2 linked regions of the Danio rerio genome follow. The protein of the gene in region 1 purifies or fractionates together with the protein of each later gene. This does not show direct contact. Links are inferred from orthologs where the notes say so. Each region holds a gene or a part of one and is shown on either strand. Other genes may lie near its edges. The genes, in order: trim25 and ybx1.

Region 1 (4,371 bases):
TGTGTGTGAATGAGTGTGTATGGATGTTTCCAGGTGATGGGTTGCAATTGGAAGGGCATCCGCTGTGCAAAACATATGCCGGATAAGTTGGTGGTTCATTTCGCTGTGGCAACCCCAGATTAATAAAGGGACTAAGCAGAAAAGAAAATGAATGAATAAATGTTGATGTTTTTTAGACTACCTACCAACTTACTTTAAGTTTATTATATTTATTTGAATTATTAGTATGTGTTTTTATTTAAACATGACAAATCACAGGTAAGGCAATGTTTTCTTTAAATATCCTCTTGTTTAAAGTTGCTGAATTAATAAAAAAAAACAACAATGTTTTAGAATTATGCATTTTTGTTTACAAATCTATGTAAAACCAAACCTGTGATATGCAGCCCAAGACCGGTTACTCACTGAAGCTAAGCAGGGCTGAGCCTGGTTAGTACCTGGATGGGAGACCACTAGGGAACACTAGGTTGCTGTTGGAAGTGGTGATAGTAAGGCCAGCAGGGGGCGCTCAACCTGTGGTCTATGTGAGTCCTAATGCCCCAGTAAAAGTGAAGGGGACACTACACTGTCAGTGGGCGCCGTCTTTCGGATGAGATGTTAAACCGAGGTCCTGACTCTCTGTGGTCATTAAAAATCCCATGGCACTTCTCGTGAAAGAGCAGGGGTGTAACCCCGGTGTCCTGGCCAAAGTCCCTTGGCCCTTATGATCATGGCCTCCCAATCATCCCCTTCCACCGAATTGGCTCTATCACTGTCTCTCCACTCCACCAATAGCTGGTGTGTGGTGAGCGCACTGGCGCCGTTGTCCTGTGGCTGCCGTCGCATCATCCAAGTGGATGCTGCACACTCGTGGTGGTGTGGAGAGATCCCCCCTCATGATTGTGAAGCGCTTTGGGTGTATGGCCATACACAATAAATGCGCTATATAAATACACATTACATTACATTACATTACAAACAAGTAATCTGCATATCTGCCAAAGTTTTTAGTTATTCATAGTGTTTTATTTAGTTACTTTTTTGCACCTTCCTTTCTTTGTTGCTGCTTAAATTAGATTTAAGAAAATGGTATCATGTGTAATATTTTATATGCACAAAATATTTTAGTATGATCGTTACACACAGTTTTTTTTATCTAACAATAAATAGAATTTCTCAATAAAACTGTTATTACAACAAATACCATTAATGCAATATTCAGCAACAATATTGCATATTTTCTCAATATCGTGTAGCCCTAATCTGTTTTGAATTATACAATTAGATTGTATACGCCTTCTGTAGACATCAGTGTGTATTTTACAAACTACAAATGTTTTGTTTTACCAATTCAAATGTTTTGTTTATATTCAAATGGCTACAACTTATTGAAAACACCTGCCTACATCGCGGAAGGTAGACAATAATGTGAAGTGAAGTGACAGTTTCTTTTTGTGGGCAAAGCTTTGAATGGCCTCTTTGCACTGTGTCATCAACACAGGTGAGAGCAGCTGTAAAGAAGGTATTTTTCTGACTGAACTGGATGTGTGCTTACATCTTGATAAACTCATTGTGGGTTGAGGGCAAGAACGGGCAGACCTTTGGCAAGGAATTTACTGTCTACTACAGGACACACTGCTTGTGAAGGAGAAATGACTTTGAAATTCACTTCAAACATGTCCCACTGTTCCGTGTTGGATGTAACCAACGACATAGAGTCATCTGCAAACTCCTCCAAAGAAGTATCAACGAGCGCCTTCTCTGTGTGAGACTGGCCGAGACAGGAGACTCACATCCAGTGAGACATTTGTAAATTTTTTGGGGGATATTTGCTTAAATGGAGCAAATTTGTCAGATGGCCGCAGAAGTGGAGAAGTCCACTGCTGTGCCTTTTTAACAAGAAAGAGCTGTAAGAGTTTTACTTTGAGGTATAACTCATTGCTGTAAAGAAGTTATGTGATGAATGGATAAATTACAATAACATGTTGAATGAATCATGAAGGGCTGGGCTATAGATCGCGACCGGCACTACCTTTCCTGGCAGTCTAAAGTGCAATTGCACAATTGTAAACCAAGCAGGCTTCATGTAAATTTTTGGGCCCCAACACAACAGTTACCCTTTGTTGTGGTCTCTCCCTTCACAACTTGTCTACTAAATAGTGTAAATTTAGTATATTATTTACTATAATAATTTATATTTTTAATAATTAATATATGGACTTTTTTATAATTAATCATTAAAAACGACAAACAAAAAGTATATTTACAATTAACATGTTTACAAATGGCTTGAATCTAACACTGGCAATACAAGTTTTGGACTCTTTCAGAGCGTATTTTTGTTTACAGCTGTTTAAATTCACATTTCCGTGTTTATTAAGAGGGCCTGACCTTTTGTTTGAAGCGCCGCTCATCTGCGGTGATGAACTCACAGCCCTTGTGAATGTACTGAAGACAGGTGCTGCAGATGCAGCTCTGGTGCTGAATGCAGTAGAACTCCATCAGTTTGCCATGATCGGAACAGAGACGCTCCATTAGATCTGGCAGCGGATCACAAAGTTGATGCGCCCGGAAAATGGCATTCTCTCGGTGAGGCCTCACATGATCTTCACAATAGGACGCCATACACGTCAGACAAGTTTTGACCGCTTTGGCTTCCATACAGCTGTCACATTTAATCGCATCTGGATCCTTCTTTTTCTCTTCAACTGGATTCTTGACAGGTTCCGAAATGCCCGCTTTTACTCTATAGGCATCCAGCACCGCGCCGAGGACAGTGTTCTTCTTGAGTTCGGGTTTACTGCTGAACGCCATTCGGCAATGAGGGCAGAACAGAGACGAAATCTTGTCTTTCCACGTCTCTTCGAGACAATTGGCGCAGAAGCTGTGCCCACATATTAAACTTACCGGGTTATCGAATAGACATAAACAGATGCTGCATGTTAACTCGTCTTCGAGACCCAACAGAGACATTTGTTCCGCCATCGTTCGTGAAGGAGAAGCTATGACTACGCACAACTCTGTCTGTTGCCGAAATGAAACTAGAAAGGCGGAGAAACGAAACTTATGTGCAACGTGCCTACGTCAAGTACACCCGTCTGCAGCCCGCAGATCTGGGCGGGGCTGAATATGGGGCGGAGCTGAATGTGCAGCCCCGCCCATAAATGGGCGAGACTGAACATGTCACTACGCCCACAAGTCTTTCATTGGTTCATGGAAACAGACGTTGATGTAATGTATGCTTTCGATTCCGGTTTTCATCTCTGCATGGTAAGTACACATCTTCTGTCATGTAAATGGTCAAATTATAGTGCAGTACACCTCACGTATTATGTGTCATTTATTTAATTAAAGGCCTTTAAGGAGATATGAAGTTTTAAAGCCTAAAAAAAAATGTTTTCTGTGTTAGGGTTGGCGTTTTCCAGGTTGATCGTACAGTTGGTGGTTTTATTCACTTAGAAGAATAATGTAAACTTTAAAGAGTTTTGAGCAAAACAGTCCACCACATGAAGTTTATTAATATCAAAGATAACAAAATATATTTTTCTTTGTGGCATGTTCTGTAATTGATATACTCTGGTAATGTTAATGCTAAATATGTACAAGATAAAACTTGATTCTTAACTTACTGATCTATACTACATTCTGTTTGCAGATCATTGGCATTGATATATATAGTCATCACTATGATTCCTGTGGAGCATATTCTCTGTTTTATTTTATTTTACCTCAGTTCGTTCTCTCTTTTGTTTTAATAGATTTGTGCATTTAATAATTTTTAATATATTTATTTACACTTCATGTTCTCTCTTTTTTTTTTTTTACTTTATAACCCATGCATGAAACTTATGCAAAGGGGAATGTGAGGAGGGGCATGCCTAGTATAAACAAATTTAATTCTTTGAGTTTAACTTTAATATACTGTATGTTAAGCGACATGTTGATGATTGTTGGTTATTTTGTACAGATGCCGCCTGAGATCCTGTAGTGTATCCTACTGAGAGTTGTCACACAGGATGGTGATGGGACATTTCTGCAACTCTCACTGACATCCAGGACCTTCTGAGCAATTGTCATTCATTCATTCATTCATTCATTTTCTTGTCGGTTTTGTCCCTTTATTAATCCAGAGTCACAACAGCGGAATGGACTGCCAACTTATCCAGCAGGTTTTTACGCAGCGGATGCCCTTCCAGCCGCAACCCATCTCTGGGGAACATCCACACACACACACACTCATACACTACAGACAATTTAGCCTACCCAATTCACCTTTACCGCATGTCTTTGGACTGTGGGGGAAACCGGAGCACCCGGAGGAAACCCACGCGAAGGCAGGGAGAACATGCAAACTCCACACAGAAACGCCAACTGAGCCGAGGTCCGAATCAG
Region 2 (4,418 bases), on another chromosome or scaffold:
TACCACGTCGAACTCCACAGTCTCTCCGTCCCCAACGCTACGGAGATATTTCCTGGGGTTGTTCTTTTTAATGGCGGTCTAGACAGAAAACAAAGGCAATCAGAAAAAAATACATCTACCCCAACACAAATATAAAAAGAAAACTGGAGAAAATAATCACCTGATGCACAAAGACATCTTCCTTTGTGTCATTCCTGCAAAAATAAAGAAAGTGAAAACATTAAAAGCCGAGGACTTAGTGTAAACAAGCATGTTCAGTTGAGCAGCAAGTTAAATATTTGGATAAATATTAGCATGCTAGTGCATGTCAGGTCCTGCTTTGTAAGCAAAGCTCTAATAGGATTGTGGATGTTCCCTGACCCACATATTATATTAGATAGCTCTTCAGAAGCTGAAAGTTATTTACCTGTTGATGAAACCGTAGCCGTTCCTTACATTGAACCATTTCACTGTCCCCAAAACTTTTGTTGCTGCAAAGATGAGGAAAAGGGCTGTTAAAAACAGATTTAAGACTCAAAACAAATCTGTATTTTAAAAAACAGTATTCAAGAGTCAGGTTACACCGAATAATGAAAGACGCATTGAGCAAAGTTACCATCCCTGGCTAGCGGAGTTCATTTTGTGTGCTCTATTTATAGCCTCCAACTGTAGAGCTTTTAATAGACTGTGATGCAAAGGCAGCTGCACTTATCACAAGAGCCTCCATCACCATGAAAGGCCCTGACCCAAGCAGTTCAAAGTATTACCTCTCATTTTTGTTTAGATCACAATTTGGTCGACACTTAAAAACAATGAAATCAGGTTTCGGTCTAATCTTTAATGCAATCAGAAAAAAAAAACTTTAATAATCCTTTAAAAACCCCACACCCCTTCCCCCAGGAGAGGCTTCACATTAATAAGTTACTTAATATAAAAATTAAAAGAATAAACAAAACCTCTAACAGTGCGAGTGTGTGATGAGGGGAAATAAGCGAGCTACATTTTGAAGCGTAAACTGAAGTCTTAATTGTGTAAACTGGGTTTTTGTTGACACATAAGCAAGTCCCTTTAAAATTTGACAACCGGCAGGTCCACATGAAGAACATTTCGGATCTAAAATGTTAAAGTTTGGAAGAAATGCTTGCTCTGAGGCAGACGCATATAAATACTTTAATAATGTTTTTTTGTTTGTTTTTAAAGGCCAAATTATTTAATATGACAAATAATATTTTGCTTTGTGGCATTACGACAAACTTTAAACACCAACGTTCACAAAAAATAAGTGAGAAGGAGAAAGAACTACAATAAAACGTGCGTATTTCTAACAAATCAGTCGAAATAAAATTCATTTTAATTGATGATTTGGATTTAGTTCAAACCACATTTCGGCAAATAATGCGCGATTTCTGTTATAGGAAGTGATGCTTGAGATGCTAACTGCAGTTAGCACAGTAGCCTCAGCCATGTGGCCGGATCGAAGCCAAACACTACACAGACACGCCATCCTCGCTACAGGACACGATGTTACCCAACATTATTTATTTGTGTTGGGATCGCGATAAACAAACGCCGAGGGCCTGTAGTTAAAGGCCCGAAGCGCTCAGTGTTTGCAGCAGCGGAGCAGACAAAAGAACCGTCCATCATCCAAACACCGTGGCGGACATTTTCTAAACGGGGTGGCGAGACACGGGCAGCTTATCTTTATCTATACGGCTGTTATACAATCTGCGCTATAAACCGTACGTCGGTTGATAAAATCTTGAAGAAGCGGCGTTTTTGGTGTTAATGGAGAGGAGGACACGTATGCGCGACGCGTCAATCTCCTCAAGCGAACAAAGAGAAGGAGATTAGCATGGCTTGTTTTCGCTTTCACAAGAAACCGGCTCCCAAAGTTGGCGATTGGGTTTTAAACAGACACGGTTCGCGCTGACCACAATAATTGGACACGTAACGTTATGATGGGAAGGTTTGCGCGTTTCACGCGAACAGCTATGGTCAATGATCTGGGTCATCATGTCACGATCAAGGCCAAGCTCAAAGATCTGCTTCACGCAGAGTCAAAATCGACCAGTAAACAAATAAGCATACTGATATTATACAAGAAAATTATCAAATTATCTGCTGCCGTAATTCACGACAGCGAGCATGTAAATGCAAGAAGCACGCTGCGTCTCGTATTTGCTGAAGCAGGCCGCGGGCTCGAGCACGCGTCATGGCGGTCTTCAATCCGCACGCGGATGTGATGGAACGCGACACGCGAGTTAACATTCAAACTGGGTGAAACCGTTTAACGTCTCAAGTTTAATGTACGTAAATCTTAACATGTGGTAAATAAACGGACAGCTCCAAAACAAAAATACCAGGCAGGACGCCACGGGTACAGAACACAAATTAAGTTGGTGACGGAATAACGACAGCACAGTCGCAGACAGCGTGGCCTTTCTTGAACTGACATACATTTTGTAACATAACTGAAATAAACCCTGGAGCGTTTAAGAAAATGTATTATTCCGAAACTTAAACGACCGCAGGCCAGGGGGGCTTTGGTTTCGCCGACAAGCTTACCGATGACCTTCTTATCCCCCGCGGTAGCTGCGGCTGCCGGGCTGGACGGGCTCTCCGCGTCGGCGGCAGGCTGCGGCGGCTGTTGTGTCTCGGCCTCGCTGCTCATGTTGTTTTCTTGTTGGTAAAGCCGGCGGTGGCTCTCTAGTGTGTTTTCCCGGTGCTAGATGGTAACCTGGGCCGGCGGTGGTGGGGGCTGCTGCCTTCGGGCTCTCCGCTTTCCTTTCTCCGCTCCCGTTGCCGATCGAACTGGACGGACTGAGTAAAAATGCCGGACGATATTCTGTCACATCTCTCCACCCATTCCCCAATCTAATTGGTCGACGAACTTGCGATAAGTCAACGTCAGCTTTTTCGCCGACGCCCATTGGACACTTTTGCTATCATTCACATAAAAATAATTGTAGGGCTGACCGGGACTGGTTAAACAAATAATTAGCACCGCCTGCAAATCAAGACCCTATTTAACCTTCCAGACATACCGGCAGGTAGATATTTAACACACGCTAAAGGGAAACAAACGTAAAACCAGAACATGAGCTTGAGTTCCAGATTTCTTAACGAAGAGATTGACATACATTTATATTTGCCTAAGGGTAGGCTTATATATGTAAAGTGAAATGAAATATGCATGTAAAAGTAAATTAGAAATATAGAAAGTCAGTAAAATGTGTAGATTAGATAGAAACGTACCTCAGATAGACAAGATACTATTTAGCTATATATAATACACATTGTGTGTATGTGTCTATGTGTTTGAACATTCCTCGAAAGTATCATGAAATAAATATAGTCTCCCCCTCACTATTATAAAGCAGAACAAATTATTAATACAAGTTGTAATATATATCAAGAGCTGAAATGACATTAGCATGTTTTCTGAACTATCATGTGGCACTGAAGATTGGAGTAACGGATTGAGGTAAAGTTGGTTTTATATTTCACATATTCATTTATTGACAACTTGTGACATGCTTCCTATATTGTTTACCATGGTACTTTGAATATTCGGTCTGAACTCACATGTAGGGTCTATGACTTGAACACAACATTAGCACTATTTATTTTACTGTGAACAATGTTGTCTTTGATAGTCACTGGCTGCTAACATTATTTCACCATTTAGAATGCAAATAATGCTTTTCTCAAATTATATTATTAAGGAGAAAGTCCAAATGTGTGAATATAAAACAAATTTGATCTCAGTGAGTAAAGGATGCTAAAAAATCGGCTTTAAATCACTAAAATGTTGGTGTTAAACAACATTTTCATACAAATACAATATATTATATTTCACAAGGTTACCCAATGTGTTCTGATCAAAAAAATGTAGCCTTGGTGAACACGTTTGACTGGTAATGTAGGTAATTAAAATGAATGTTTCAGCATCACTTAATGCTACATAACAATGTTTTGTTGGTTTTAGTTACTAAAACCCCTGGCAAAAAAAATATGGAATCACATGCCACAAAACTATTTCCATTCAATAATCCAACCTTCTGGCTGTATGAAACAAGACTGTAGTCAATTACAACTGTTTTAACAGATCAAACAAAGGAAAAAAAAAATGGAATCACACAAATCTGAGGAATATTATATGGAATCACCAAATAAAAACACTGCTAGTACACTAGTACCACCATAGGATTATCTGAGACATGGATTTACAGTATTCTTCGAAGGTCGGTCTCCAACTTTGTTTTATTGCACTTGGCGGATCAGATTTGCAGGTTGTAGCCTTGTCATGGAGAACTTTCTATAGTTTCCAAAACAGATTTCAATTGGGTTGAGGTCTGGACTGCTTGCAGGCCATCCCATTAACATTGAATGTCTTTCCTGTAAGAAAAATTGGACAAATTTTGCCTTATGGCATGATG

What was found.
Region 2: the proteins of trim25 (region 1) and ybx1 purify together in Homo sapiens (affinity purification with western blotting; 4 studies listed by BioGRID and IntAct, with this or other methods). This does not show direct contact. The link is inferred for Danio rerio from reciprocal best matches to the Homo sapiens genes TRIM25 and YBX1.

Annotation. Positions count from the first base shown.
Region 1 is NC_133181.1:24,418,927-24,423,297, forward strand, and holds the start of trim25 (E3 ubiquitin/ISG15 ligase TRIM25), read right to left. Parts: upstream 3,023-4,371; 5' UTR 2,965-3,022; coding exon 2,371-2,964; intron 1-2,370.
Region 2 is NC_133183.1:56,877,209-56,881,626, forward strand, and holds the start of ybx1 (Y-box-binding protein 1), read right to left. Parts: upstream 2,857-4,418; 5' UTR 2,651-2,856; coding exon 2,545-2,650; intron 471-2,544; coding exon 407-470; intron 195-406; coding exon 161-194; intron 79-160; coding exon 1-78. UniProt on the Homo sapiens protein: DNA- and RNA-binding protein involved in various processes, such as translational repression, RNA stabilization, mRNA splicing, DNA repair and transcription regulation.